7 linked regions of the Neurospora crassa OR74A genome follow. The protein of the gene in region 6 interacts with the protein of the main gene of each other region in a pairwise test. Links are inferred from orthologs where the notes say so. Each region holds a gene or a part of one and is shown on either strand. Other genes may lie near its edges.

Region 1 (4,151 bases), on a different chromosome or scaffold from region 6:
CATTAGGTTAGGAAGCTTTGGGTATGGGGTCGGGTCATCTGACCACTCCGCAGCATCAGGGACCAGGAGGCGGGGGTACTGGCGTGGGGCGCATGTTGCCGCAACCCACAAATCTTTCGACGCTTTTGTGAAGCTTCTGATTGTTTGCCAGTTAAAAAGGAACAAACTCACTGGACGCCATCACGCCAGCTGTAGTGCTCCGGTTTTTGCCCGCATCAGCACCACTCAGGGACCACAGGCCCAATGAAAACTGTGATCGGCGACTCTGGACTTTTACACCATGTACACGATGTCCTGGTAGCTGGTGCGGCCATCAAAATGACACGCAAACGCTATCCATCGAAGCGATGATGTGACCGGCCTTGTCTCCACCGGGCTGGCTGGAGCTGGGAATAAAAGGAGTCATCCTCTGCAGCTCCAGGTCGGAATCCATGGCGATGAGGTGTGGTGAGGAGCCCGACTCCGTGCAGAAAGCCAGGACGACCATGCTATTTTTGCCCGTTGAACGGAGCGGCGGCGGGAGGGAACGCGCGGGGACCTCAATGCTTGTCTGGAAAATTTTGTGACCGAGCAGCCGATAGTCTGGGGAGCTCCATTCGGCCGCACAGGCCAGCCCCCGACGTTGCTCTCGGCCGATGGATTCGGGTCTTGGCAGCTAGGGGAGATTCGGCCTGGAGGCGTCGACGTTGAAGATGTCAAGTTGGCCCAAGCTTCTTTCAGTTCGTTTGAAGCTTCATTCCTTTATGTGGCCTGTGCTCAGGGGGAGCTGGAGAAAGCTGTCACGTGGCAGAGAGGAGGCCGAGCACGGATTATACATACTGCGTATGTAGCTAGGGTGGTCCAAGCACCCTACTAGTGAGCCCAGTCCGCCCGTTCCTGAAGTCTACCAACACTGACATGTACTTGGAAGCTTCGCTGTTGCTTCTTTGCCTGCCGTGAGCATGGAAAAGGTGGAGCAAAAGAGAAGCAATGGAGAGCATCCATTGGACCATATGGTATTCCAGCTCCATTTGCTCATTTTCCATGTTATTAGTTCCCGCTTCCAACTGCAGTGGCTCCAACCAAGGAACGGGGCGTGGTGGTCCAGTCCTTGGTGTTTACTATGAGTGACATCGATTCACCGCACTGATTGCCTGCCCGACGCTGCCTGGACACTTGACACTGACCCTGACCCTGACACACGCAACAACAACAACACCCGACCGCCGCCAGTGCTGTCGTCGTCGTCGTCGTCATCACACGAGCGCTTCCACGGCGCATCGCAGCCCATACTTGCCATTTGCATCTTGTCTATCTACACCATAATCACTACTCTAATTCAACTACTAGTCTCCCCCATTCCGTGACTGCCGACCAAGAGGAGCTTGCTGCCTCTCTTTCGCCAGTTGCCTCTCCGCTCCTTGAACCCCCTTTTCCCCTCGTCGTGTATCAGGTGTTGCTGCCTCCATTTCCGCAGCCCCAAGCCCCTCTCTTCCTCGTCCGATACTTCTAGACCCGACACGAGGGCCATCGAATTGCATTTAGTAATATACACGAGGAGGAACCGCCCGTCATGTACTCGAACTCGAATGCCTTCCTCGGGGGCGCCAACAGCCTTCGCCCCGGCCAGCAGCCGCAGCAGCAACAGCAACAATACGGCGCCCCGAGTCCGTTTGGCCAACAGGGCCCGATGCAGCCTCAGCCGACCGGGTTTGCGCCGCAGCCGACTGGGTTCGCTCCCCAACCTACCGGCTTTGGTCAACAACAGACCGGCTATGGTCAGCAACAACAGCAGCCGCTCCAGCAGCAGTTCACGGGATACCCGGGGTTGCAGGCCCCCCAGCAACAGCCTCAGCTTCAGCAACAGTTCACCGGTTTCCAACCCCAGGCTACTGGCTTCCAACCCCAGGTTACTGGCTTCCAGCCTCAGGCTACTGGCTTCCAGCCCCAAGCGCCCCAGCAGCAGCCGTTCCAGACCGGCATGCCTCCTGTCCCAGCGATTCCCCAGCAGTTCCAGCAACAGCAGTCGTTCCAGCAGCAGCAGCAGCAGCAGCAGCAGCCATCGATTCAGCAACCCCAGCCGACTGGGTTCCCATCCGTACAGATCCAAGCGCCGGCTCAACAGCCTGCCCCGACCGCCCAGGGTGGCATCGCCCCTCCTCCGCCCGTGAAGCCCCAGGCTACGGGCTTTTCTGAGATGGCCGCCTCTTTCCAGACGGCTGGGGGCAAGGGACGGAGGGCCGAGCAGAAGACCAACACCGTCAAGATCCCCAACATCCGCCTTTCTTTCATCACGGCGCATGACCAGGCCAGGTTCGAGACGCTTTTCAAGTCGGCTGTGGGAGAAGGACAGACTACCATGTCGGGTGAAAAGGCGAGAGATCTCCTTCTGCGGTCGAAGCTGGATGGGGACTCGCTATCACAAATCTGGACATTGGCGGATACCACAAGGTCTGGGCAGCTACACTTCCCCGAGTTTGCCCTGGCCATGTACCTTTGCAACCTCAAGATCACTGGCAAGGCACTTCCTAGCGTCCTACCTGATCACATCAAGAACGAGGTTTCGAGCATGGTGGACATCATCAACTTTAGTATCACCGACGATGCGGGCTCTAGCTCTGCCCCGGCATCTAACGCCCCCAGCTTTGCTACGCAGCAGAATACGGCGGCCGTTCCGACCATTCAACAGCCCCAGCCGCAGCCGTCAAACTCGGCGATTCTCCAGGCGCAGATGACTGGCTTTCCTGCTCAGCAAACTGGTTTCATGGGTCAGAACCAGGGCCTTCAACCCCAGCAGACTGGATTCCCGGGAATGAACCCCCAGCCAACTGGCTACGCCGGTCCTATGCCTCCCATGCCTCCCATGCCGACCGGATTTGGCTCAAATCTGTCGCCTAACGCTGGCCCTGGCGGCATGGTTGCTCCTCTCAACTCTCAGCCCACGGGAATGCCTGGACAATGGGGACTTGTTAATACGCCTGCCACCGGATTGCCTCTCATTGATGCGCTCCAGGCTCGCATGATGCCTCAACTGGGACGTGAACAGCGGAATTATACTACGGCCGGACTTCAAGGTAATGCCGTTATCCCCTGGGCCATCACCAAGGACGAGAAGACGAGGTACGATGCCCTGTTCCGGGCTTGGGATGGTCTGAACAAGGGTTTCATCGCTGGCGATGCTGCTATCGAGATCTTTGGTCAGAGTGGCTTGGACAAGCCTGATCTTGAGCGCATCTGGACCCTCGCCGACAATGGAAACAAGGGCCGCCTGGATTTGGATGAATTTGCGGTGGCTATGCATCTGATTTACCGCAAGCTTAACGGCTACCCTATTCCTAACCAGCTTCCTCCTGAGCTTGTTCCCCCTTCTGCGAGAAACCTCAGTGCGTCTATTGGTATGGTCAAAAACATGCTTCATCAGGAATCCGAGCTCCGCAAAAACACTGGGGCCTCGTTGCTGCCCCAGAAGACCGGCGTCAGCTATCTTAAAGGCCACTCTTTCAAGAACACTGGGGCTAACCGCAAGGATGCTACCGTGTTCAAGAACAACGATGAGGAGGTGGGGTATCGCTCCAGCGCGCGCCGTCGCGTGGGCACGTCTCCTCGTCCTGAATCTCCGGCGGCTAGTAACTCCGGTGATGACCTGACTATTGAGCAGCTTCGCAAGAAGATCAAGGAGAAGCAGGTACTTCTTGATGCCATGGATTTCAACGATGAGAAGAACATGGAGGAAGACGACATTCTTGACAGACGCGACCGCCGCGAGGCCGATGAACTATACCGCCGTATCCGGAGAATCCAGGAGGACATTGACAATCATCCAGATGCCCAGCTGATGAGCGCCGACTCTGATGCCGAGAGACGCGCACTTAAGCGCCAGCTGCAGCAGCTTACTGACAGAATCCCAGAGCTTGCGTCCCAGGTTCGGAAGACTGAGAAGGCCATTGCTGACGCCAGACTTGAGCTCTTCCGTCTCAAGGATGCCAAGGCTCATCCTAACAGCGCCGCCGCCATTGTCGGTACTGGCCCGGGTGGTATGGTCACCGAGTCCGACAGAATCAAGGCCCGTGCGAAGGCTATGATGCAGCAGCGGACAGCTGCCTTGATGGGCAAGAAGATCGATATCGGTGATGATGATGCCGATGGCCCCAAGCGCTTGGAAGAGGAGAACA
Region 2 (4,133 bases), about 3.6 Mb from region 6:
AAGGGCGGCGGAGCCGTAGACCCAGACCATGGTGGCGGCTGACTTGCCGAATGTGGGCAGGAAGGAGGGCAGCCAGGTGCTGTTTGCAGGAGTGGTGGTCTCCGAGGTTTGTTCGTCAGAGGTGGGCGAGGGGTTGGGGGCGTCGGTGGGAGTTGGTTTCGAGTTGACGGGGCGGTTGGGATGGTCGGACACGGTGCTGGGCTTGGTGTCGGTGGCGATGGGTTGAGGTGGTAGGGTGGTCGTGGTAGCGGGGAGGGTGGTCGTGGGGATGGCGGCGTGGTCGTTGTCGTCTTCCTCGGTCGGCATCGGGAGTACCTTGGCCTTGGAGGCGTCCTTGCTCTCGCCCCAAAGCTTTAGATGCCAATCGGTGAAGACGCCCTCGTGACTGTTAATTTGGGTGTCTTTAACGATGATTGTCCAGTTACCGACGCCGGTTTCACCCCTGGTTATGTACAGGTTAGCAAAGATTACCTCGGATAATTGCGGTAACGCGTGCGCTTACCAGTGAACGACACTCATGAATGTCCAGTCATCATAGCCAGCGCGGGCCTCATCGTTCTTCCGGCTGACCGAAAGATGGCTGACCAGATTGTTAGGGCTGATGAGATCAACACTAAGATCTCCTCGTCTAGTATGCATGATGTTCATGGTAACCGTAATATGTTCCAGGCGCTCGACGTTGGCCTCATCCAGCATTGCCTGCGTAACTTCATAGCTGACGGCAACTCCCGTGTCTCCCTGGGGAATTGCTTTATTGACATGGATCCAAGGAGAGTAGAACCAGGCCTGAGGCTTCACCTTCTTCCAGGTCTTGGCTGCCTGAACAATGGCGTAGCTGTCGAGTTTGCCGTAGCCATACATATGGCTGAATTGTTTGCCAATAGCAGTCGTCTGCCACTCGCCGCTGTCAAGGTTGATAGGAACAGCAGTGTTCACGGTAAGATACTGCATATCTCTCCATGAGAGATCTGGGCGAACCTGCAGAACAAGAGCAAAGATACCAGCTGCGAGCGGAGCGGCAGCTGAGGTACCACCGTGAGTATCAGAACAAGCATTCCCAACGTCAGTCGTGTGGATCGAATCACCACCGCCGCTGGAGTATGTCACGACCAGATTCGCGGAACACGATTCAGAGTAATAGGGATGGTCGCCGTTTCTGTCAACGGCTCCGACGGTGATGCTGTAGATGCTGTTGGTGTAGCCATCGAAATTGCAATTATCTCCGTTTCCTGCACCATTGCCGCTGGCAAAGACATAGATTGAGCCCAGCCCACCACGGCCCTTCTGGACGGCATTGAGCATAGCCCTCTTGATGAGAATTCCGGGAGCATCCATACTCTGCCCGTCATCAGGGGGTCCCCAGGAGCACGAATAAATCTGATTGTGCTGAAAGTCGTAGTTCATAGCAACGGCTTCATCAGCGTCAGATATCAGCTTTGACAAGATACGCAGGCCGGCAATCCTGGAGTCATATGCTACTCCCACACCGCAGGCTTTGTTCTTCCCGGCCGAAACTTCACCGGCACAGCGAGTTCCGTGTTTATCGTCGCTTAATCGGGGCTTTGGATCAGGACCCTTGTCGTTAAAGTCCCATGACCCTTGGGCATAGTAGTTGTCTTTCAAGTCATCGGTTTCCATATCCAAGCCATCGTCGACAATGGCGACGGTGGCGTTTTTTCCAGTGACGCCTTCGAGCCAAAGCCCGGTAACATTCACGTCGTGCCCAGTCTGGACAGTGTTGAAAAGATGCCACTGCTCCTTGAATATGGGATCTCTGATGCCCAAATTCCCGATAACTTCGTTTTGCTTCTTGACTGCCCAGTCAACCTCTTGATCGGAAAAGAGACCCCTTCTAGAGGGTCCTACTGGTCGGGGGACCATGCGCTTCTCCCAAGGTTTCCGCAAAATTTGCTTCTCTGAAAAGAGAACACTATCCAGAACATGGGGCTCGTCGCCTAATGATCGTTTTCGGCGCCGGCGCTCCGTCAATTCTCTCTTGACGATATCGTGCTCGGCTTTCCTCCCAACAAAGAGATGGTGATCCTGGAGTTCACCAAGGGGCCCCTCATGAGACAATCCTAGGCTCCTGGCAACTTCAGTAGGTGACGTTCGGGCATCGAGATGAAGAACATAGTAATCGTTCGAATCGAAGTCGCGGGGGAGGACATTGGACGCTATAGCCAGAGCGGCCAAGCCCAGCGGCGTTGCGATAGCCGAGAGCTTCATAGCTGAGTTCGGGTAAATGATCTGGAGCGGCCCAAGGTCGGTCTACTTCGCAGGGGATGCGCAAGGTTGTGTAAGTGTTTTCAGTTGGTTGCGGTGTCGAGCACCAAAGACGAATTTGTACGACCGGCTCGTGTAGGTATATAGAGACAAGCAGAACAGTGTCTTATTCGATCTCAAATATGGCAGAATAGTAGCGCCAGGGATAGCAACGGTGTTGGCCAATAATCAGAATGATGTTACGAAGACGGCATCGGCTCCCGGCGACTGAGAAGAGACTGGAAGGTCGAATCGAAAGCTCGTCCCTGTCGAACGGACATGGAGGCTTCGCGCGGAACTGGTCAGACAGCTATTTATTGCATAAGCAACGGAATCAAGGAGGGAGAGGGCACAGCATACAGGACGAAGCCCAGTCGCGACCGTAGCAGCGGTCGAGAATCAGATAGGCCCACTGAGCAATCCTGTATAGGCTGGGAATGAAAAAGGCGGCACAGTTTCCCCGTCTCACCACAAAAAAGATTAGGAAGATGGGTTGATTTGAAGATGGAGAATTCACTTGTTGGAAGTTCAGTTCGGCAATCTGGCGATGTGGCCTAGTTGAAAACCATCCCGCCACAGCGCAGGGGTAATGCACACAGACGGGCTGCGCAAGTGGCCCGGGCAACAGGCTGGAACCGGTTGGTACCTAGGTAGGTAGGCAGGTACAGGGCAGCTGCCAAGCGAGAAACAACACCTCCAGGGGCAGAGAGAAGGACGGAACCTACCTACCTCAAGAGGTATGGACCCTGAATGAGGCGGCAGTTCTGGTGGGGCCGAGACTCTAGGGGCCCCTTGTAAGGGGGGCCCGGGCCCCCATGGGGCAGGAGCAGTGTCAGCATTCCACATGTATTCTGCGCCGTTACAAGATGTTGATTTACACCCCTCGACACCATAGAACCGTCTTTATACCAATCATACCTTGTCTTGTTGGAACGATCACCGAGATTTACCTTTGCTCAGTTTTCCATGTTCAAGGCGCTGCTCAGGGATGGGGTTTCGGTAATGTTCCGTACCTAGTGCACTGTCAAACGTCCCATCTTCCGGGTTTCGTCTTGTCTTCAACCGACATTCCAGCCGTATTCGCCATGCGAGACAAGACGAAACTTTGAAGATCATCTATGCTCAAAAATTCCCACTATCATCGATGGTATCTTGGGGAAAATTTAGTATACTGTGCATATCTCAGCCTTTGGTTCCGACACAGATGGTAACGACGACAGCATTTCCATTGACGCCTCCCATATCATGCATGGCGGTAGAGGTGGACGGTCTTCACGTTGCCTGCGGAAAACAACGTGGCTTCGAAACATGTTTGTGAAACGAGGCGTTTGCGTATGGGTTGGGCCTTTCCGCTTTCTCACCTCAATAAGGATGAATGGCTTCTATGATGGTGTTGCTCCCTTGGTACTCGTTCGGCATTGTCAAAGAATCGAAGAGGCTTTACGCCAACGCCAACGGGCAGGTCACCGAACCCGGCCAAACAACCACAGACAACTCAAAGTCGTGTAAAGGGAGACTGAAGGCAAGATGGTGGGCTGTATCGATGTGAACCACTATACCTACCTACCTACCTACTTCTTTGTTTTGCCTCTAGTAACCTCAAGCAATCTTCTACTAAGCAACGCGGCGCTTGTACCAGTATCATGGAGCCGTAAAGGTAGGTACCTCTGGTTACCCAGTGGTACGGCTCTTAAGCGTCATGTATAAGACAAGTACCCCGGCCACCACTCTCCTGGGACAACCTGATTACATACCACAACACTCCGGGCACTGTACAGGTCAGTGCTGACTCTGTAGGGCCACGTTCCGTCGTTAGATGCTCAACGATGTCTTTGTGCGGGCAGTCGAGCAGCATAGCAAGTTCCTTTCGG
Region 3 (4,260 bases), on a different chromosome or scaffold from region 6:
AAGCGGGAAGATAAGCAGAAAGCAGTTGGTTGTTGAGGAGGTTTGGAAATTTGGGGAGAGGGTGTTTGTTAGGGATGGGACTGCTTTGGTGAGTTCGAAATCATAATGGGGAGGGAGTTGGGGCTTGATAGATGTTGAATGCTTTCTTGGTCATGTAGCTTTGGTTCTTTGCAAGGGAGGGAGCAGAAAGTAGAGTGCTGAATGTCTGTTGCCTCGCCATTTGGCTATGCACGATGAATGGCAATGATGGTTCCCGTCCACGAAGGCATGACTTGAAAAGAAAACACCACTCGCTCTCCACTCATAACTGGCCATCCAGAACTCAAAAAGGTATAACTCATTCCTCTCCCCTGAACCGCTAAACTTGGTAAAACAACTGAGGATAATGCTGCGAAGTGTTTCGCTTTCCTGCTCGATCTACTCCTCCGTACTATTACTATCGTCCCTCGCTGTCGCTAAAAATATTTCCTAGACAGGCAAATGGCTATCCAGTAAGCAAGTAGCAACTCAATTCGTATCCATGTCGTATTATCATCACTTCATCCCCGCCATGCTATCCACGTCCACCCAGCCTACGACCACTTGGGCTCGTCACTCTCCACCTTAGGGGTCGAGACAGCATTCCGGTCAGCAAACGGATCGTTCTCGTCCTCATCCACCTCACTATCCTCGTCATCAGACGGTTCCACCCTTCTTGTAGGCGGCTTCAACATTGAGGGTTTCGAAGCCGCAGACGGTCGGGGAGGTGGCGCAGGACGAGGAGGCATTGGTGGTGGGCTCGCAGGGGTGTTGGTGATGCTGAGCCCAGCCATGCCCGCAACGGGGGCGCGGGGACTGCCGGGTACGCTACCACCGGATTCTTTGGCTTTGGCAGCTTTTTCAGTTGCCACTGGAAATTGTTAGCAGGGGAGGGAGAACAACAAAAAGGAGAGGGGAACATACTCCGATAAAGATGTGCTTGCTCAGCCAGATCATCATCCGAGTCGCTGTCCGCGTCAATAGAGCGGTCCAGCTGCTCAAAAGTCATGAGCGCTTGGACGAGTTCATCGTTGGCATGTAGAAGGCCTCCTAGCCATTGTTCAGATTCGACGTGTTGAATCTGCGTCTGTTAGCAGACCGTTCGGCTATGGTCAAGAGACACTGTCACGTACATATCTCAAGATGTTCCTTCTAAGCATTTTGCACTTTTCGAAACGCTCCACTGCAGTTGAGTTCTCCGAAATGCGCTCCTTCTCTCGATTGATGGATTGCAAAGTGTTCATCAGGTTCGTGGAGGCAATGGACGCCTCGGCGATAGTCCTGGTCATCTGATCCTTTTCGGCTTCGAGGTTAAATGGCTTGTGCTTCTTGGATTTGCTGCTGCTCTTCTTTGACTTGTCCTTGCCGGATCGACTGAAGGAGTGAGAATGGCCACTGGAACTGGACACTGTCGGCCTATGCGATGATGAGGAAGATGGGTGTGTGGTTGATGTGTTGGCCTGGGCAGTTGAGGTGCTTGCTGATGGCTGGCGTTCTTCCTCCTCGTCTTCGCCAAAAGGGTTCTCGGTCTCCTTAAGTACCTTGGACTTTTCTTGGGTAACGACTTGCTTGCGACGGGGAAGTTCCTGGAGTGGTGTGAGCGTGACAGGTAGACGTCAAAGTGTAGACTGTAAGGGAGCTTACTCTGTAGAGGTTCGCGACGCGCTCCATGCCGTGAGTGCGGTTGTAGACAGTCCAGTTGCGAAACAATTCGGAGCACTTCTTCTTCACCAAGGGGTCCGACAGCTCGGCGGTGCCACAGAAGCGCAAGCGCTCAAGAAGGGGTTCATCCGCAAAGGAGCGCTGGAAGCGGGGATTCCCATTTTGAATCAGGGCATCGAGGATGGTCAAGGCTCGGAGCTGGCGGTGCAGGTTTCCATATTTGAGTTTCTTGCGAATGGCACGGGCAGCCTCGGTTGGGCCCGAAGCCTGGAGGTTGATAGCTTCGATAAGCTCGGGGATGCCGCTGAGATCGTCTTCGGCGAATGTCTCACTCGTCAAACGTTCGATGTCGACCGTAACAGCCGTGTAGGGCTTCTGTTCTGGGCTGTTAGCGAATGTACGAGACGCAGCTATTGAGGGAACCTTTGGTCGTTTACCGAGGAAGAGAACATTGTATCGTGGAGTAGCGCTAAGCTGATTGCCGTGGTTGCTTCGTCGTAGAAGATAGCAAAGAATAAAGCTCGGGGATAGAAGTCGAGAAAGCTGTGCAGTGGTGGTGGATGGTATGGTTGAAGAAAGGGAGCCAAGCCAAACAGTCGCGTCGACTTTGGGTAAGTTGTTCAGTTATCGTCAGATGGCCGCAGTCGCAGTCGCAGTCGCAGTCGCAATCGCAGTCGGTCGCTAACAATGGCCTGACCAGGAAAAGTCCCTAGTACGACTTATTGATGGAAAGTGTCGGTGGAAGCTCTTCGTTGTCGTTAAGAAGAAGCGCAATCTGTCGAGGAAAGCGCGTCAAGGTAAACGGCAGCAAGCAGCAGTCGTGCCTGCGCAGCAGTGATGTGATGCTGTGTATGCTCTGACTGAAGCTTTGACGAGGGGCGGCTGATGGCGGGCGCAGGAGCGAACAATGGCGGGGTATCGATACGAGGGAGCTTGAATTTCGTGTGACGCCGTGAAACCGGATTCCGTCGCGCCCAGTGTTTCTTTCGACAACCCTTCAAACAAATGAGTAAAATCAAAATCACCGCATCGTCACCAACAGAACATTGCTCTTTCGTGAGCAACCTCACCCAATGCGCCTTCAATAAAGGAGCGAAAAAGAGGGAGCCATGCTTCCTTGACAATGCCCCGGTCGCCGGTCCTTGGCGTTTAGCTTTCAGGCCTCAAGCTCCCTACAAATCTCGGCTCCGGTGCCGAATGGTGGGGCTTCGGTTCGCTACGAAGCGGGGCCAGATTACTTGGCGCCGTCACCCTCCCTGCCTGGCTCACTCCCGTCCGGCTGCCCGCCCGCCCACCAGCTGCCCTCAAGGGCCCGCTGAAGACGTCCAGAATAGGAAAGTACGACTTATACATAGAGGTATACAAGTACATCCATCATCATCATCAGGCGGGCATCAACGCCTCGACGACTCGCACTTGCCAGCTTTCAAGGACAGTGAGAAAATTTCAAACATTTCCACTTCGTTGTCCAGTCTTCGCAAGTCCTCCGTCTTCGACTCTCGTCCGGCCTCTCCTACCATCATGTCCTTTTCAGTCCAGTCGTGTCAACACCAGAGGCAGTTTCCGGTTCCCACCACCCGGTCTCAATTTCCAAAGGCCAATCGGATCCCAATGGCTTCGACCTCGACAATACCGTGACGCGCCTATACTTCCATCAGTATCGTTAGTCTTGATTTTTTGTACCCAATCGGACATTGTCCCTCCAAGACCAGTCAGTCACAGACACAGATGACCCGAGTGTGGTCCTGAATATGATGGACCCTTCCAGTGCGGCAACTTCCGCTGCTCCGTAAGCCCGTTCTCCCGCTTCATGTTTTGGCCTGCAATGCTAACTTGTTCTTATTATCAGTTGTGATGTGTCCTCCTTCTCAACTACCACAACCCTTCCGGCCAATGATGCCGCACCGGTCAACAACGGCGTGGACGGGCCTGGAGCACTTCCATCGGAGCTTTACCATCCGGCTACTTCAGCTTCCCTGAAACGCCGAAACACTGATGGGGACTGCCCAAAGGGCAAGAGAAGGGGATATGTATTCCCATCTTTCGAAACCTTCTCAGAGTATCATGGTTACGATTACGACGACAATGTCGCGGTTGGATATTCGTCATGGGAAGAAGGCGATACCCAAGAGCATATGCTTGTGGACACGATGACCTCCGACCAGGATGGCTACTATTCGCCCCCATACTCCAAATCCGAGCTCTTAGAGCTTTGTGCCAATAACCCACGGGCTGGCAGAGAAGACTGTGAAGAAACGGATGCTTCCTTTTTTAGCAGAGCCATGATCTTTGACTCGCTCACAGGTGGCAATCCGACAACCTACGCAGGCGAACAGGACATCTTCACATACCACAGTGTTCCTACGTGTGATTCTCTCCTGGCTAGAGAGCATGAGGTTCCGTCCGGTGACAGCAATCCAGCGACTGCTGACGAGTACTCGGTCGCATCGTCAGACGAAGAAGCGATGGCGGAGCTGTTGGATTCCTTGCCGGACCCATTCGCACAGATTCCGCCATCCAGTGTCATCAAAGCTGTGGAGGGGAGCTCTACGCCTGAAATATTTGACCCAAGTCTACGGA
Region 4 (4,294 bases), on a different chromosome or scaffold from region 6:
ATTTTTGACTCGAGCGGTGCAGTTTTTTTGCTCAAATTCGCCGAGAACACCAACCTTCTTTTGGCCATTTAAGCAGAGGTATCGGTAATGAGCTTGGTGATCTTGCCAATAGCGATGGTTTGACCCTACAAAATGTGTTAGTCCAATTTCACGTCAAGCAACAGACAAGAAATAACATACCTGGTCACGGAGGGTGAAACGACCCATCTGGGGGTAGTCCTCGAACCGTTCAACGCAGACGGAGCCGGCACCACCGGTAACCTCGAGACGAGCAATGATGCTGTCGCCCTTCTTGGCGTGCGAAGGAGGAAGCTTGGACTTCCTGTTGGTGCCCTTCTGAAGCTTGTGGAGGAGAGCGGCGAAAGTAACCTCCTCGATGGCGGCGTGAACATGAAGCACGCAGTTGAAACCGGCAGTCAGAATGCTCTTGAGGTCAAGAATACGGATCTGAGCCTCGAAAGCGGTGACGTTGTGGACAAGACGCTTGGGCGAGCAAAGGACGAAACCGGGCATGATTTCTTCTTCTTCGATGCCACGGAGACGGAGACGGACTTGCTCACCGCACTGGGCAACGGGAACCTCATCTTCCGTCTCGCCGTAGACGGCCGAGATTTCAATCGACTGCTTGTTAGGCATCATGATCAAGCTCATACCCTTCTTGATCACACCGGCCTCGATCTTACCCTCGATCATGGTACCCATATCACGGTACTTGCCAGAAACAGCCATCATAAAGGGGGCGTTGACCTTGCGCTCGAGAGAGCTCATGTTGTCGAGGTACTCAAGCAGCGAGGGGCCATCATACCAGGGGCAAAGATCCTTGGGCACGCGGTCCTTGATACCCATGGTCTGCTGGGCAGCGACGGGCATGAAGAAGACATCCGTCTTCAGGTTGTAACCAGTACCCTTCAAGAACTGGGCAAGCTTGGTGGTGCACTCCTTGTAGCGCTCCTCGGACCAGTTGACGGTAGGGTCGTCCATCTTGTTGATGACAACGACGAGCTTGTTGACACCCTGGGTCTTGGCCAACATGGCGTGCTCACGGGTCTGACCGCCCTTCTCGAAACCGGTCTCGTACTCACCCTTACGGGCGGAGATGACGAGGATACCGACATCGGCCTGGGAAGCACCACCAATCATGTTGGGGACATAGGTCTTGTGGCCGGGGGCATCGAGAATGGAGTACTTGCGCTTGTCGGTCTCGAAGAAACCACGACCAACCTCGACGGTCTTGCCCTTGGCACGCTCCTCGTTGGTCAAGTCAAGAGCCCACGAGAGGTACCAAGTCTCACGACCCATATCCTTAGCCTCCCTCTTGTACTTGTCAAGTGTACGCTGGTCGACCATGCCGGTGACGTAGAGAATGGCACCACCGAGGGTAGACTTGCCGGCATCGACGTGACCGATGAAGATGATGTTCATGTGCTCCTTGCCGTAGATTTCCTTGAGGGTATCCTCGTCAACATCGGCGGACTGAATATCCTTCTCAACAGCATCGACGTCGCGCGAAACCTTGTTGCCGGACTTGGCGGCCGACGGGCTGGCACGGCCCGAAGAGGGAGCGGGCGAAGTCCTGCCGCTAGCAGCAGCAGACTCGGTCTTTTGCACAGCCTTGGTAGCAGTAACCTTGGCGGCGGCCTCAGCGGTACCCTCCTTCTTGGCAGCCTCCTTCTTGGGCTCCTCCTTGGCGGGAGCAGTGCCGGAGATGGAGAGAACCTTGGCCGCGGGCTTGGGCGCATCACCCCCGATGCTCAAAACCTTGGCAGGAGCATCGCCTCCAACGCTGAGAACCTTGACGGGAGCGGCAGCGGTCTTGGGGGCGTCGGCCTTTGGTTGCGCCTGGGCAGCGGGCTGCTCTGGCCTCTTGACGATCTGAGGGGCAGGCTTGGGCGCATCGCGGTTCTGCTGTTGCCTCTGCTGGTAGCCCTGGTTCTGCTGGTAACCACCGTATTGTTGTTGTTGTTGTTGTTGTTGTTGTTGGCCTGCTATCCACGTCTATCAGTTAGATTCCTCGATCAAAGACTGTACGAACAAGCGGCGGCCTACCGTAGCCCTGGTTATATCCCTGCTGGCCGTAAACAGCGCCATAGCCCTGCTGCTGCTGGTTGTTGTACTGTCCGTAGCCCTGCTGGCCGTACTGGGGGTAGCCACCGCCGTAGCCCTGCTGGGCGCCGCCGTAATATTGCTGCTGGTACTGGGGAGTGAAGCCGGGAGCGGCGAACTGGCCGGGGGTGAAGGAGGGGGCGCCGGGGGTGAAGGCAGCGGCACCGGGGCGGAAGGTACCAGCGTTGATGTTCATCTGTTGCTGGGTCTGGCGCGCCAGGCGCTCATCCTGGTCGGCAGCCTCCTCCCAGTTGTTCTGAACGTTTCCGGACATGTTGGATAGATAGCGGTCGCGTGTGATTCTCGAGAAGGTGCCGGTAGAAATGTGTCTGGTTTCGGGGTCTCGCTCGTGGGCTGGAGAGTGGTGATAATAAAGCTGATGGTCAGCAAAGATGAATCCCGACTCTGTCGGCTGGGTAGCGACGTGGGTGTGTATAAATAAGGTAGGTCCCTTGCGCGAGGAGGGAATCCTGAAGTCAGGAGATGGAGATGGATGATTTATACTAGAAGACAGAAATGATGGTAAGCTAATGCGACCACAGACAGCCCTATATCAACTGCCTCTATACACCGTAGGTACTTACCCTGACGACGACCTGTACTTGGTTGTAGTACTCTGAGTGACCAGTCCAGTCGGCGCGTCCAACTACGTAGCGAGCGAGGGAACAAGTCGAAGAGAGATTTGGATCAAGAAACCTAACGCTGGCAAGGGCTGTAGGGCCCCACCGTTGATTGGGGAGGGCGTGCAGTGAGTGGTGGCGGGGTACATGACAATTTTTTGTCCCGCTGTCTACTGTGTGCGCTAGGACGGAACTGCCGCCACACACTGTGCGACTCGGGGAGTCACTCGCCGAAGAAGTGCGCCCAAAGCCAGCATTCAGTGGAATGGGATCAGCAGGATCACAGTGCGAACCTCTGCAACAGACTAAACCCCTGGTCTCTCTTGGCACATGCACTGTCCCAGGCCGGGCCGTGAACCCAAAAGAGACCCGGACGAAAAGAAGCCTGGACCCGCCAACCAACGTCACTCTTGAGGACCTGAACGTCAAACGGACGGGACGAACACTAACAATTAGGCATCGCTTCGTTCAAGTTCACTTGCTGCCGGAGAGCATTACAGTAAGGTACCTCTACCTACCTGATTCCGTACATAAAACTATCAAATAGGACAGGAACTGAATATGATATACACCGTACCAATCAAATAACCATCCACACATTCTTAACTTGAGCAAATCATGGACGCACTGTTGGCCAAGCTCGGGTCTCATGCGGTCAACTACGCCATCAGATCAGGCATCGCAATCACTTCCACCTACGCCGTCAACCAGTGCTCGAGGCTGCTCAAGACGGTCGACGACAAAGGAGTGTACACCGAGCTCAAGAAGCTGCAGAAGCTTCTGGATAGTAAGATCAAGGTGAGTGGCCATTATTATTCCGAACCCAACAATGCTAAAGCCCCTTCCAACAAAGACATGACACCCCTTGCTAATACGAATATTCCCCACTTCAGATTGTTTCACCAGCTATCGACCTGATCGAGTTCAAGTATGCCCAACCTACCTCTCTTCTTACTACTTACCTTGTCCTTGGCCCTTACAAGAATGTGACTAACGCTGTGTCCAAGATCTGGCCGTGGCAATGTCTTCCTCGAGGCTGCTGTGCCTCTTGCCAAGTCTCTCCATCGAGACATCATTTCTCTCGGGAAGCGCCTAAACGATGCTGCTACTGCCGAAGAGAGCTCCCGCTCCGATGGCAAGAAAGCCCGCATGTCGGAAGCTCATCATATTGAGCTGCTAACCATTATCAAGGAGATGAAGGAACTACTGGCCCGCATAGACAGAGAGATCCCTCTGATCCAACTCGCCATCACGGCCTCGGGAGAGAGGATGAACACGACAGTGAACGCTGGCATCTCTCCGTCGAGACTGATGCAGGCGAGTGCCTTCTTGTCATTCGGGGACTCACACTTTGTGAACAACCCTAACCGAGCAGTCCCCATCGGGCCTTCTTTCACACTATCTCTTTACATGCTCTTCCGCGGCCATTCCAGGCTGAAAAGTGCCAGTTCCGTTCCTGCCACTCCTAGCACTGGAGGCAAGACATGGACCAGGGAGCCATCATATGGTGTTGGCGAAGGTGAACGGAAACCCATCTGGCAAGAGGTGGTGCACAAGGCTCGTGTACGGCT
Region 5 (4,039 bases), on a different chromosome or scaffold from region 6:
TCATCCCCCGAGATATAAAAAGATTCCCTTTCCTTCCTACCCTCTCGAGTTGTGTGGAGACCGGACGGATGGAGAGACAGGACGGGCAGACGTGGCTTTCGTTTCGTTGGCACGGCAGGAGGGGCGAGGACCTCCCCAAAAGAAGTGGTCGGAACAGACGGCAGACGGGATGATGGCTGGGAGCCCTGGCGATCAGGAAACATGGCGGCGGTAGACAAGCTGACGGTAAGATACTCATGTTCGTTGCGGGCGGGCGAAAGTATCAGACGTTTATCGGCGGCCGAACCTAAAGGAAAACGGGTGTGTTCGTAAGAAAATTCTTTACTTGTGCTTCTTGGGGGTCTTGAATTGCTTCATCTGAGACTGGGAACGTACTTCTGTTTCTTCTCTGCGGGCTTGAGAATCTGCAAAGGGGGTTAGCAAGAGTGCAAGGGTCTCGGAGCTTGCCAAAGTCAGAAAAACATACCTGGAAAGAGCAGAGCAAACTTTCGTCGACGCTCATCATAGCACCAGCGTTGTCGAACTCGCCGCAGTAGTTGGGGGCACTAAACAAAGTAACGAGCTGGCGCTTCGAGAAGAACTCATATCCGTCCTCAACAACCTGGTGAGCACGGCAGATCAAATCCATGTCGTGTTTTTGGAGGAAGCGAGAAACGACATCCGGGCCGAATGTGAAGGAAACACCACGATCGTTTTCGCTCCAACCAGTAATGTCCTTATCGGGATCCGACCACAGGAGATCGCAAAGAAGACCGCAGTCAGGAATCTGGCGCTATTGTTAGTGTCTCATGTTACGGCAACTAGCCTGAGCAAACGGAAAGCCCGGGCATGAATGGTGTAACGTACGTCAGTTGGTCGCATGACTCGGCGGATCTGCTCCATTGAGTTCAGATCCGGGCTCAAACCACCGTGCATAGTGAAAATCTTCTCGTCGATAATGGCAGCGATCGGTAGGCAGTTGAAGCAGTCGGTGAAGGTCTTCCAAAGCTTGATGTTGTACCTCCGCTTGCACTCGTCGTAGAAACCATAGATACGGTTGATGGACGCGCACTCGTGGTTGCCACGAAGGATGAAGAAGTTCTCGGGGTACTTGATCTTGTAGGCGAGGAGCAGGCAGATGGTCTCCAGGGACTGCTTGCCACGATCGACGTAGTCACCTAGGAAGAGGTAGTTGGCCTCAGGAGGGAAGCCACCGTACTCGAAGAGGCGGAGGAGATCATAGTATTGACCGTGGATATCGCCGCAAATCTAGGGAGGTGGGGCACGACGTCAGCTATGAACACTGCCGAAGGGGCAGTATGGCGCATGCCGAGGCTATGTAAAGGGATAATAGAAAGAACACAATGCTTACCTTGATAGGAGCCTCGAGCTCAAGCAGGATGGGCTGGGAAATGAAGATTTCACGGGCCTTGGTGCAGAGATAGCGAATCTCGGCTTCCAGCAGCTGCACCTGCTTACCAGGCCGGCTGCCCCGCACCTCCAAGAGGCGGTCGATTATAGAGTCGAGGTCGACTTCGGTATGGTCCGCCATTGCAAAATCCTCACCAACCGGAGAGATACCGCGCACAGGTTTTCGAAGTCACGGTAACGACCGACAAACCCCAGCTAGTCGGATGGGACGGGTCTAAAAGAGCGGCACGCGTAAGGAGTAGGAAACTGGGGTAGATGCACTTCTGCAAAGCTAAACGACTAATTCAAGACGTTAGACATTGCCAATGACGACGCAGATTCTGATTGGGGTTTGCCGCACGCGATCGCGATGGCGGGAAAATGAAGGAGGAGCGACGGCTGGGCAGAGACTGGGAAGCCGCAATGTAACGGCAGTTGATCAACTTACGCTCAGAAGCGATCCCAGCAAGAAGCGATTGTTGGGGGTTTTTTTTTTTTTGGAGAGGCGAACGCGTTCTCCTTGGGAATACAGCAAGCGGTGATTTTTTTGGTGTTTTTTTTTTCTGGAAATAGGTATTCTTTCGGATACCGAATGTTGTGCTTTGGTTTTAGTAAATCGTCACTGGGTTTGGCGGAGGTGCGAACGGTCTAGAGCAAGCGCAAGCAAATCTCGTCGGAATTGCGAAGAAATCGGTCCGGTAGTACGCGGCGACAAGAGGGTTAGCAATGATGGAAAAAGGAGACGGCTCCAGAAGTCTCTGATCGTCCTTTGTGAGGTAACGTGTTTTTTTTTTTTTGTCGCGCGGACGGGGCTGGGGCAAAACGCCGTGTCGTCGTCGAAAATCTGGGTTCGAAAAGGTCGGGTGTAGAAGGGGAGTTCAAGTAGTCCTGAGACTGCGGGAGAGGCTGTCACTGCCACTGCCAAAACCACGGTCGGGAAAAACTGGTCGATGGACTGCCCGGGAGAGTGCAAAGTGCTGCAGCGAGGTGCAGTACAGAGCGCTGGGCCGGTCGGAGGGTCGCTGGAAAAAGCTGCGTCTAATTGAGCGACGGAGGCCAGAAGACGAGATACCGCGAGATGATGCCTATGATAATAGGACTTCTATCGCCAGGGTGGGGTTGAAAATGCGCGTTCTTTGTGGTTAAAGACGTCGCCCTGTTTTGGTTGGGATAGAAAGCGTCGGGAGAAAAAAATCAACGTCGGTGGTGGTTGCTTAGAGACTTTTGGGAGGAGACGGACAAGCGCAGACGCTTCCACTTGGGCTGCCCGCTGCTGGGGGGGGGGGGTCCGGCCGGGCGATGGGCTAGGTAGAGGTAGGTAGGTAGAGAAGACTGGCGACTGGACTGGACGGGGACGCAGAGAAGGGATTGGGCTACTGGGCCGATGGAGCAGCAAGATTTACACGCACGCAACGCAGCTAATGAAACGCACAGGGCTTCCAGACTACCTACTAGCAGTGGAGAGCAGTAGGTAGAGGTAGGCAGGCAGGTCCAGGTCCAGGTCCGCGTTCTTTCAAGCCCAGGTCAGGTCACCTCGGTGCCTGCCAGTCAGGTTATCGTTACAACAACCACAACAGGCGTCCGGTCGGGTCGGGTTTCGGTGCAGTTGTGATCTTTTCCGCCGACTGGGCTCTCATCCACATCGATGGAATGAACAGGACAGCACTCAGTGACATGGAACGAAAAAAACTCGAAACATCCGACGCGATGGCAGGCCAGAACAACCCTCAACTTAAACTCAAACATACCTACCTACGGCTGAAATAACCCAAACAAGGACAGGCTCAGATTGGGTGAGCTAGGTTAGGTAGTTGGTACCTAGGTTGCCAGCCAGGTAGGTAGGTACCTACCTAGGTTTCGCGCCCGCTCTGAATCTCCGTCAGATCCTGGCCGAGCCCTTGTGCCCTTTCCAGTTGCAGTGAAGCGGCCCTTCCAACTTGGCTCGAGAAAAATTGCATGCACTCGCCTCTGGGGAAGCAGGTATGATGATAGGTCGGTCCATGTTGCTCACTAACGCGACTGGGTAGGAGCTGCGCTGCCTTCCCCCGCAACTGCGAGCACTTCTGTTAGCAAGAGTCCCGAACACCGGACCCTCCTTGGCAGGTCTAGGCCTGGGATTGGCTCGCCTAAAAGCCGCTTGCGATCCCGTTGGTGGGTGTCGCCTGGAACTTCCATCTCTCCCAACCCTCCAACTTCCCCCTCCCTGTGTAGAGATAGTGGACTGTGAGTGTGACACCTTACCTGGTATGTACACGGCAATAGCAAAGACGGGAATGCCTTCTTGGTCGCCTTGTTGTTACTTTGCATTGGTATTCCGGCTTTGTCCTCTTTGCTCGTTTCCCCCCACCATCAGCATCAGGTTCCGCAAACGCAATGATAGGCAGGGCAGCCTGGCTACATGGCCTACACCTAGATCAGGCACAAGCACCCGGTATGCATGATTACAACAGCTCGAAGCGAAGGAGTATAAAGACAGGTCGACAGGCAACGGATATCCAGTCAACAACGAGCAAAATATTCGAGCGACTCAGCCGCCGACGTGTATCCGCAAGATCAGTGAGACTGGGAGCTCGACAGCAAATGCGCAAAGCCTCAGTCAGGCTGTCGAGAATCTTGGGCATCTTGGAGATCCAGGTAGTCCTCTGCGGTC
Region 6 (4,216 bases):
AAAGGCTGGGTAAGCAACGACAACTCCTGCATCGACTTGGTAAGAGCCGCCGGCGGAGGGGGGGCCGGCGCGTCAACCAGAGCTGGCGCAGCAGGGGCTGGAGCGGCAGCGGGTGCCGCCGCAGGAGCGGGAGCAACGGCTTGCGCAGCCGGCTCAGGGGTTTTCGTCTTGGTAGGCTTGACATCCCAAGCATCATCATCAAAGCCACTGGAAGGCTTCGAGGCAGACGGTGTTGGCGTAGCCGCAGCCGTAGGAGATGATGACTTGCCACTACCAGCACCCGAGTCCTTAGAGAAAGCGTTGGGATCAACGGTGTTGCTGACCTCGACGGGGGGCGCCGGCCTGCCCTTCTTCGTGTTGTTGCGGAGCGCACCTCCTGGCCCAGAGAAGAGTCCTCCCTCGCCCTCTTCGCCTTTCTTGTTCCGCATGTACTTGTTGTCCAGGTACCGCATGACCTTGATAATATCACCTTCACGCAAGCCCAAGTTCCTCAGCACAGTAGCATCAACATCTGGCAAGACACTTTCGTCGATAGCCTCCCGCAGGAAAGCTTGAGAATACCGTTCGCACAAACCAACCTGTATGTCACAACCAAGGAAGAAGTTAAACCAGTCGTAGTCGGGCTTCTTCGAGGAATCGATGGTGGCGCCAACCCGGGAGCTGGAACCACGGTCTCTTTCCCTGTCGCGCGTCGATCGACTAGACCTCGAAGACTCACCGGCGGATCGCTTGTTCCTAAGATCGGATAGGGGCTTGTCTTCGTCGAGAGATTCGCCAGTTACGCGCTCCACGTACTCGAGATCCTCAACTGACATCTTCGAGACGGGCACGGCGATCTGCACACCGTTCATCTTGTGGAGCCTGATCTTGCCATCCTTGACACCGAGGAACTGGGCCTCAACGCTGAAGGACTTGGATCGATCGGTCCATGTTCGCACTTTGGAAGGATCGGGCTCTGCGACAAACTGTCAGTATTCTGCATACTCTGAAAGAAAATCTGGACATGGGTGTACTTACTCGACTTGCTTGACGACTTGGAGCTGCTGTTCTGACCGGGTTCGCGCCTACTGCTTCGCTGTTTTCCTCTCCTGTTATCATCTGTGGCCGGCAAACTACTATTTCGTTCTTGCAATTGCAATCCTGGGCCTACCTCAGAGTTCCTCTTCTGCTTCTCCTTCTCTTCCTCGCGCTGGGCAGCCTTGATAGCCTCCTTGGTTAAGCGCGCCTCTTCCAGGCGGTTCTTCTCGACTTCCGACATGCCCACGGCAATACCGGTAACGGCCGTCTCCGGCTCTTCCCACACGCCGTTGATCTCAATGTAGCTGCTGGGAACCACACCCTCCTTGCCGTTCTTGACGCGACGCACCATCCACCACTCGTCACTCTTGGTATCGTCGAGAATAACTACCTCATCACCAACGCCGACAGTAACCTCGTCCTCACCCTGAGCCATAAAATCATACAGCACAGCACCCTTCTTCTTCTTGCCTCCGGCTCCCGCGGCAATGATCTCCTTGAGTCCCTCGAGGCGCACAGTTCCGGCCATGTCGCCCAGCATCGCGACGATCTCTTCAGCGGTGTCCTTGGCGCCCGCATGAAAGTCAACGCTCTTGCTTGGTCGTACGAGCTCCATAAACACGTGCTTGCCCTCCCGAGAGTAGTGTGTCATGCAATCGGCCCGCCATTCCTGCGATGGACCGTCGTGGGAATGTTCCGGCGCTATGAGAATCATTCCCGTCCTCAGGTTGATGCCCAGCGTGGTAGGCATCTTCTTCTTCTTGCCCATCACCGACGTCATCTCGTTGATGTTGTACATGTGGAAACCGCCAGGGGTAAGCGCGGCGGTCTGAGGAGGAGGAGCCTGGGAGGTTCGCGGGCTAATGCCATAGTCGTCGGTGTCGTGGGCTGCTGACTGAGCGGGCGGCGGCACCGGTCTGTAGGATTTTTGCTCCGGAGCAATTTGCGAATCGCCCCGCGGGCGGCTCGGAAGCGGCGGGGACCTTACCTCATTTTCGTAATCTTCCGAAGCGTATGACTGTCGCTGGGGCTGGGGAACACTGATAGGCGCTGGAGGTTGGAAAGAAGAGCGGTTGGCCATAACTCCGGCGATGGCGGCGGCAGCAGGGTTGGAAGCGGCGACAGGGGTGCTTGGCTCGGAGGGCACACTCCTGGCGGGCAGGGGCGGGCTGGCTACATCGACGCTGACGCTGGGTGTCCTCTGCGGAAGAGGAGGAGGGGGGGCAGTCGCTTCTTCCTCCTCCTCGACCTGGCCAGCCTGGCCATCGCCCAACTCGATGTAGTTGGCGGGCGCGAAGCCGTAGTCGCCATCGTGGCCAACAAGGATCCAATCGGGGTCGGAAGTGTCGAAGACTGAGAGCTGCGCATCCTCGGGGAAGGAGAGCTCTTCGTCGGTCTGACGCGTGTACTCGTAGAGCGCGCGAGCGTATGATACGGGTTTCGCCTGGCGTCATGGTGTGCGCGGTCAGTTCAAGTGATCCATCTGAATGCCAAGGCCAGCCAGCTTGCTATCCTCCAAGCAGGTACAAGTGCCCAGATGACACTGCACGCAATCCAGATCTAGACCTCGGACCACATTACATACCTCCTCAATGTAGTTGTTGGGGATCAAGCCGACGGGCTCGTCATCGTCGGCAGCATTGGCCTTCTTCTTCGCCTTCCACCAATCGTCCTCCTGACTCTTTTCCAACACATAGAGAATGTCGCCCTCGGAGATTGTCAACTCGCCCTCGCCCTGGGGCGTGTAATCGTAAATGGCCCTATAGACGCCGAGGAAGCCCATGGCTGCTGCGGGAAATCTGCTCGTATGATGCCCTTTGGATGGCAGCCGACATGAACCGACGCAAGGGAGTTGCTGTTGCGAAGAAAGGAATTGGGGAAAACGAAAGGCGCCGTGGTGCGAATGGTGGCTGGTGGTGTGGTATCACAAGTCTTGGTTCTGCCGGGGAAGGGGGGGTGTGTGTGTGTCCGGTAGGAAATGGAATCAAGGAGCGAGCGGCGGCGGCGGCGGCGGCAGCAGCGTGTGAGAGCGGGTGACGCTGGGTTGGTGACGGGTGACGGGGGTGCGGCGCTGCGGCTGCCGGGCAGAAGGTGAACGAGGATGGAAGCTCTTCTAGAGTGTACGGGTGCTCCTGAAGCAAGGGGTAGCCGCTGAAGCAAGCACTGTAGGTATGCCCGCTTGCGCGTAGGATTGCGGCCGGCCAAGGCCCTCCTGTATGGTACCTACGGATAGGTAGCCTGTAATTTCGAGCGAGGGAACGTCGGGAAGATGTCGACGACAGCGAGCACGCGCGGCTGCGGTGACCCTGCGAGGAATTTGACCTTTATCGTGATCAAGAGTCTGGAGTTGCGGTCGAAATGGTCGAGCCAAGGGAGACGTTGGAAATTACTCTATGTCCAAGTCGTGGACCCAAGTGCTCGTTTAAAGGAGCCGGTCCGGGGGGTGTGTGTTCGGGGGGGTGGGGGGGTTCGCTGAATTTGGGGGAATTTAGACGATGCAACGAAGCGGTCGCGAAGACACCGCGATCTTCATGGATGCTATCACCAAAATGTATATTTATGTAATTGCAATGTCCACGGAAAATCCATTCGAGATCAAATCAAGCGTAGGTAGGAAGTGCACTATTGACCCGAGGACAAATGAACACCTTGTTCGTACCTTACAATTTGAAACCCCAAGAACAGGTACGTAACCTCCCAGCGCTGGAGGTGTATGTACCTAGCTTTTATTTGGAATAACCGCAGCGCATTTCGAGGGTTCAGGTCAACCCCAATGACCGACCAACAACATCGAAGCAAGGTACTGGCGCAGGAACGAAGGATTCTTGTCCAAATTGAACCCGAAAGAGTGAGATCGTGCAGGAGCAAGCACAGCCCAGCCGCATCTCGAGCGCTGCTGGTACGGCATAGCACCTGAATAAGTACCTCGAAAGCGCAACTTTCACTTTGTTACACAGTATCTATTGATTGGCCGTAATTGTGGCTTAATTGTGACAGTCAACTTGGGCTCTTCTTCACGCCCAACTTTCCCATCAATCAATCAAGAAACAGCAGCCAGCTGGTCCCGACCGGCAAACCCGGGCATTCATCAGCGATCTACTGTAACCGCACGTGTAGATAGCGTCATATCCCGGGTTTTCCCTCTTGACATTTGGGCGCTTGGTGGATCGTTCATTTCAGGTCGGGGTCCGCTGGGCAT
Region 7 (3,682 bases), about 700 kb from region 6:
AGAGGGTGTTGGGGGTGGTTGAATGGGTAGTAGTCGTAGGAACTGTTGTGGTCCATGGTTCAGTTTGTTGTTGTTTGGTTCTTCTGATCCCGCTGTTTCTTCTTCTAACCAGACAACGAAGTAGGCAGGCAGGGAAGATGGAGGCAAAGCGAGGTAAGTTGAGTTTGTTTGGATAGCTGAAAGGGACGGAGTGACGGACGGCTGATTACTTATGGTAAACTGCTTTTGAAGCTGAAGGTCTGGATGAGGAGCGAAAGGATATGGAATAAATAATCGACAGGGACAAAACAATGGTAGGTATGGACATGAATTGTGACATGCACTTCTCCTGCTGCCGGTTATTAGTTCTCTTATGATCCTTTTATGGAAGTTATCACGGCAAATCGGAATGTGTCCGGCAAGCCACAAGCGGAAGTCAATGAATTGCTTTGTATGTATTGAACCTGTATTTGTTCTTGACTGTGTGTCTGATTCACACATACATATCTTGCAAAATTGGCCGGGCGGTCATGACAAACGGATAGCTCACTGTGGAGAAGTGACATGATAAGTCTCTGTACAATGGGTGAATGGACAATCAATCACTTTGGCGGATACCGGGAAGCACGGATAGGGCAGAAATCAAAGACCGGGAAAGTTACCCGCTAAACTGACATTGATGGATCTTGACTTTGAATCTGATTCATTATCAGCCATTCACTCTTGTTCCATTAACATTAGATGTTACGCTTGCTTGCTTGGCTTTTCTGCTTCCCAATGTGTGCAGCAACCCTCTTTCATCGAGGGGAAATCTAGGTGTGCCAGATGACGACTCTGCCGTCAACACCGCTCGCTGTTGTGTCAAGTTAGCATCAATAATTCTTGAAACCACAGGTCATGTAAAAATGGGGAACACTCACAACTAAACTTGGTCACCCGTCCACCACTCTCCTCAAAGGGCCTCAACATAGTAACCGTATTCTGATGCACCGTCTTCAACATGGTATCATCCTTGCTGACCTTACCCTTCAGGTCCATCTGCTTGAACATGTTCAGCGCAGACTCCTCTCTGTCCTCGTCACCAAGACCCGGTCTTCCTCCGGCCTTGGCCTTCTCCAGCGTGCCGGCCAGCTGCCACCCCTGCTCGCCGCCTTGGAAGCGGAAAGCCTCGCAATCGTAACCCGCAGCAATGATCTCAGTCTCTCCGTTCCAGAAGAGGCTCATAAAGGGCAAAAGCTGCGTGTTGATGCTGATCACCGCCTTGGGCGGCTGCTCGGGCGCAGAGGGGTAGACGACGGTGATGGAGGAGTCATGCGCCGCAAACGCCAGAGCGTCGCCGCTCGGGCTGAAGGCAACAGAATGCACCCATCCGGCAGAGTTGTTCAGGAACTCGCCGCAGACCGTGTTGAAAGGCAATCTCTCGCCCCAGGGGCTCGGCTCGGGGCGCTGGTCGGTGCCCTTGATGAAGGCGGAAAAGACGCGGGCGTGGGCGTCGGTGGAGCCGGCAGCAAGAAGAACGCTGTTGGGGTGCCAGGCGACAGAGGTGATGGTGGATCGGATCGGCTTCTTCAGGTGCTTGGATACCCACCAGTCGTTTTCCTCCTCAAAGTAGCAGATGGCGATGACGCGGTCGCCGGAGCCGACGGCGAACTTGGCTTCCGAGGGAGACCAGCGGACGAAGGTGGCGGCGCGGGAAATACGGAGGAGCACGAGGGTGGGCTTGTAGCCGGTGGGGGAGGGTTCCCAGACGAGGGCGTTGCGGTCTGTGAGTTGGGGTTGGTTGTTAGTCTAGCTGACTGTGATGGTGGCATTATGGGGTGCCTGGGTTGCGAAAGGGGGGGCCTACCCTGAGAGCAGGTCACAATACGCCCGGTGTTGGGAGCAATGTCGACGCTGGTGACAAGCTTGTCATGGCCCTTGAGCTCATCCTTGAGCTTGAAGGCATTGCCGACTCTGCCGTAGAGCTCGACCTGGGTGTCGCGGGCAATGGCCAAGGTCTGGCGATCGGCCGAGAAGGAGTGGTCGGCGATGGGGTGGTGGAAGAGATGGTGGACCTCGGGAGCAGCCATTGTGGGTTGTTAGGTTGGTGTTGTGTAGAAATAAGGTATGCGATAGGAGTATAGCTCTCTACTACCGCGCTCGGAATCGGGGACGGTGATGACGGAGAGTGTGATCGAATGTCTTGGTTCGGTGGTGTCGGAGCCGGATGTTGTAATTGGAAAGGGGAAGCTGTGCCCGGGAACGGGAAGCGGGAGAGCTCCGTAACTACAGCGGGCTGGACGCCTGAAATGAGGTCAGACCGCCAGGCTCCAGGGGCACCGTTGCGGCAGCGTATGGTGGTGGGGTTGGCTGCGGGTGGGTGACGCCGCCAAGAGTGCCCTGCTGCCGGCCGGGGCTGACCCACCTGGAACTGGAACCTACTATGGTGAGATGGGTAAGTTAAACCCGTGGATCAGGTCGTCGACCACACAGTGCTCACGAAGCTCTGGCTGTGGTGGTCCGTGCAAGATACCTGACAAGGGGGTTTTACTTTTGCTCGCAACCGCAGTACCTCCAACAAGCTGCACCCACGCCCGTGGGGTTTGTGTACCGATTTCGATGGTTCGTAGGCTGGCTGGCCACTGTCTCCAATTTTTGGACCAGCATCTGAATTGTCGACATCGCATGCGCCGCCGCGACTTGAATTCATGATTGAACACTGAACATCATACACCCGAGCGACGACGACGACGACGACGAGACAATTGACGATATTAACCCCTACCACGAGGCGCCTACGATATACTGAAAATCTACGCGACAATTAACAACCTGCATTGGACAAACAACAACAGCATCAACTCCCGGATTCCTACGCGGCAATGGCTACGCGTATTGCTCCCCCCGCGGGCCTCCCCCAAAAGGTGGTCTCGAACCCGCCAAACCAGACTCTCTACGTCACGAACCTCCCCTCAGCTAAGATCCAGAAGGACGACCTCCGTACAGCACTATACATGCTCTTCTCCACCTACGGCCCCGTCCTCGATGTCGTCGCTCTCAAGACCATGAAGATGCGCGGGCAAGCACACATTGTCTACCGGGACATTCAGACAGCAACACAGGCCATGAGGTCACTTGACGGCATGGAGTTTTTGGGCCGCAAAATGGTAGGTCTTCTCGGGTTGAATATTTCAGCGGTAGCCCTTCACATGCTAACTTGGGTTTGCCTAGAAAATCACCTACGCCAAGGGCCGCTCCAACATCATCGCCAAACTCGACGGTACTCTCGTGCCACCCAAGGCCGCCGCCGCCGTGGCCCTCACCACCGTCCAACAGAGTATCTTTAGTGCCCCAGTACCAGGCGCCCCTACTACGAATACCGAGAGTCCAGCACCACAAGGTTCGCCAGCCAAGCCTCCCGGGACGGAGACAACCACACCGGCAGAGGAGAACCGGGGAACGAAGCGGCCACGGGAGGAGGAGGAAGAAGAGGAGGAGAGCGATTCGGACGTTGCTATGGAGGAAGACAGCGACGAGGACTGATGGGTGTCCACTATGGCATTTGCTTCTTGTTTAAGATACCAGCTCGCGGTGGGGAAGGATGACGAAAAATGAAGGCGCAATGAAGCGGATGGATGAAAAATTCGCCCTCTCGAAGGACAATGCAGAAGACGCACCGCTAGCTGCATGTACAACATACACCGCGCTACTCCCACTTCCTCTA

What was found.
Region 1: the proteins of NCU02978 (region 6) and NCU06171 interact in binary tests that used the Saccharomyces cerevisiae proteins (3 or more experiments, as listed by UniProt). The link is inferred for Neurospora crassa OR74A from reciprocal best matches to the Saccharomyces cerevisiae genes SLA1 and PAN1.
Region 2: the proteins of NCU02978 (region 6) and NCU03219 interact in binary tests that used the Saccharomyces cerevisiae proteins (3 or more experiments, as listed by UniProt). The link is inferred for Neurospora crassa OR74A from reciprocal best matches to the Saccharomyces cerevisiae genes SLA1 and KEX2.
Region 3: the proteins of NCU02978 (region 6) and NCU04724 interact in binary tests that used the Saccharomyces cerevisiae proteins (3 or more experiments, as listed by UniProt). The link is inferred for Neurospora crassa OR74A from reciprocal best matches to the Saccharomyces cerevisiae genes SLA1 and LSB5.
Region 4: the proteins of NCU02978 (region 6) and NCU04790 interact in a two-hybrid assay, tested with the Saccharomyces cerevisiae proteins (2 studies listed by BioGRID). The link is inferred for Neurospora crassa OR74A from reciprocal best matches to the Saccharomyces cerevisiae genes SLA1 and SUP35.
Region 5: the proteins of NCU02978 (region 6) and pph-3 interact in a two-hybrid assay, tested with the Saccharomyces cerevisiae proteins (3 studies listed by BioGRID). The link is inferred for Neurospora crassa OR74A from reciprocal best matches to the Saccharomyces cerevisiae genes SLA1 and GLC7.
Region 7: the proteins of NCU02978 (region 6) and NCU02781 interact in a protein complementation assay, tested with the Saccharomyces cerevisiae proteins (2 studies listed by BioGRID). The link is inferred for Neurospora crassa OR74A from reciprocal best matches to the Saccharomyces cerevisiae genes SLA1 and ARC40.

The regions. Positions count from the first base shown.
Region 1 is NC_026503.1:1,749,685-1,753,835, forward strand, and holds the start of NCU06171 (actin cytoskeleton-regulatory complex protein pan-1), read left to right. Parts: upstream 1-1,351; 5' UTR 1,352-1,552; coding exon 1,553-4,151.
Region 2 is NC_026501.1:4,941,484-4,945,616, forward strand, and holds the start of NCU03219 (Kex2), read right to left. Parts: upstream 2,801-4,133; 5' UTR 2,623-2,800; exon of another isoform or gene 2,573-2,622; 5' UTR 2,227-2,572; coding exon 503-2,226; intron 443-502; coding exon 1-442.
Region 3 is NC_026506.1:549,716-553,975, reverse strand, and holds NCU04724 (VHS domain-containing protein), read right to left. Parts: upstream 2,801-4,260; 5' UTR 2,133-2,800; coding exon 2,118-2,132; intron 2,056-2,117; coding exon 1,663-2,055; intron 1,605-1,662; coding exon 1,152-1,604; intron 1,100-1,151; coding exon 943-1,099; intron 890-942; coding exon 573-889; 3' UTR 217-572; downstream 1-216. Other genes in the region: NCU04725 (N-acetylglucosamine-6-phosphate deacetylase), read left to right, coding at 1-106; NCU04723 (hypothetical protein), read left to right, coding at 3,432-3,469, 3,530-4,260. UniProt on the Saccharomyces cerevisiae protein: Essential for the organization of the actin cytoskeleton, fluid phase endocytosis and vesicle trafficking, together with YSC84.
Region 4 is NC_026506.1:822,350-826,643, reverse strand, and holds the start of NCU04790 (eukaryotic peptide chain release factor GTP-binding subunit), read right to left. Parts: upstream 2,801-4,294; 5' UTR 2,688-2,800; intron 2,607-2,687; 5' UTR 2,378-2,606; coding exon 2,047-2,377; intron 1,986-2,046; coding exon 181-1,985; intron 126-180; coding exon 69-125; 3' UTR 1-68. Other genes in the region: NCU04789 (RanGTP-binding protein), read left to right, coding at 3,342-3,521, 3,617-3,651, 3,731-4,294. UniProt on the Saccharomyces cerevisiae protein: GTPase component of the eRF1-eRF3-GTP ternary complex, a ternary complex that mediates translation termination in response to the termination codons UAA, UAG and UGA.
Region 5 is NC_026503.1:2,384,687-2,388,725, forward strand, and holds the start of pph-3 (serine/threonine-protein phosphatase PP1), read right to left. Parts: upstream 2,801-4,039; 5' UTR 1,838-2,800; intron 1,690-1,837; 5' UTR 1,532-1,689; coding exon 1,352-1,531; intron 1,249-1,351; coding exon 847-1,248; intron 767-846; coding exon 467-766; intron 405-466; coding exon 376-404; intron 287-375; coding exon 271-286; 3' UTR 1-270.
Region 6 is NC_026501.1:8,519,965-8,524,180, reverse strand, and holds the start of NCU02978 (cytoskeleton assembly control protein SLA1p), read right to left. Parts: upstream 2,801-4,216; coding exon 2,603-2,800; intron 2,462-2,602; coding exon 1,018-2,461; intron 956-1,017; coding exon 1-955. UniProt on the Saccharomyces cerevisiae protein: Component of the PAN1 actin cytoskeleton-regulatory complex required for the internalization of endosomes during actin-coupled endocytosis. The complex links the site of endocytosis to the cell membrane-associated actin cytoskeleton.
Region 7 is NC_026501.1:9,216,037-9,219,718, forward strand, and holds NCU02781 (hypothetical protein), read right to left. Parts: upstream 2,273-3,682; 5' UTR 2,049-2,272; coding exon 1,826-2,048; intron 1,743-1,825; coding exon 900-1,742; intron 833-899; coding exon 792-832; 3' UTR 501-791; downstream 1-500. Other genes in the region: NCU02782 (hypothetical protein), read right to left, coding at 1-56; NCU02780 (U2 small nuclear ribonucleoprotein B), read left to right, coding at 2,841-3,125, 3,190-3,501; NCU02779 (hypothetical protein), read right to left, coding at 3,680-3,682. UniProt on the Saccharomyces cerevisiae protein: Functions as a component of the Arp2/3 complex which is involved in regulation of actin polymerization and together with an activating nucleation-promoting factor (NPF) mediates the formation of branched actin networks.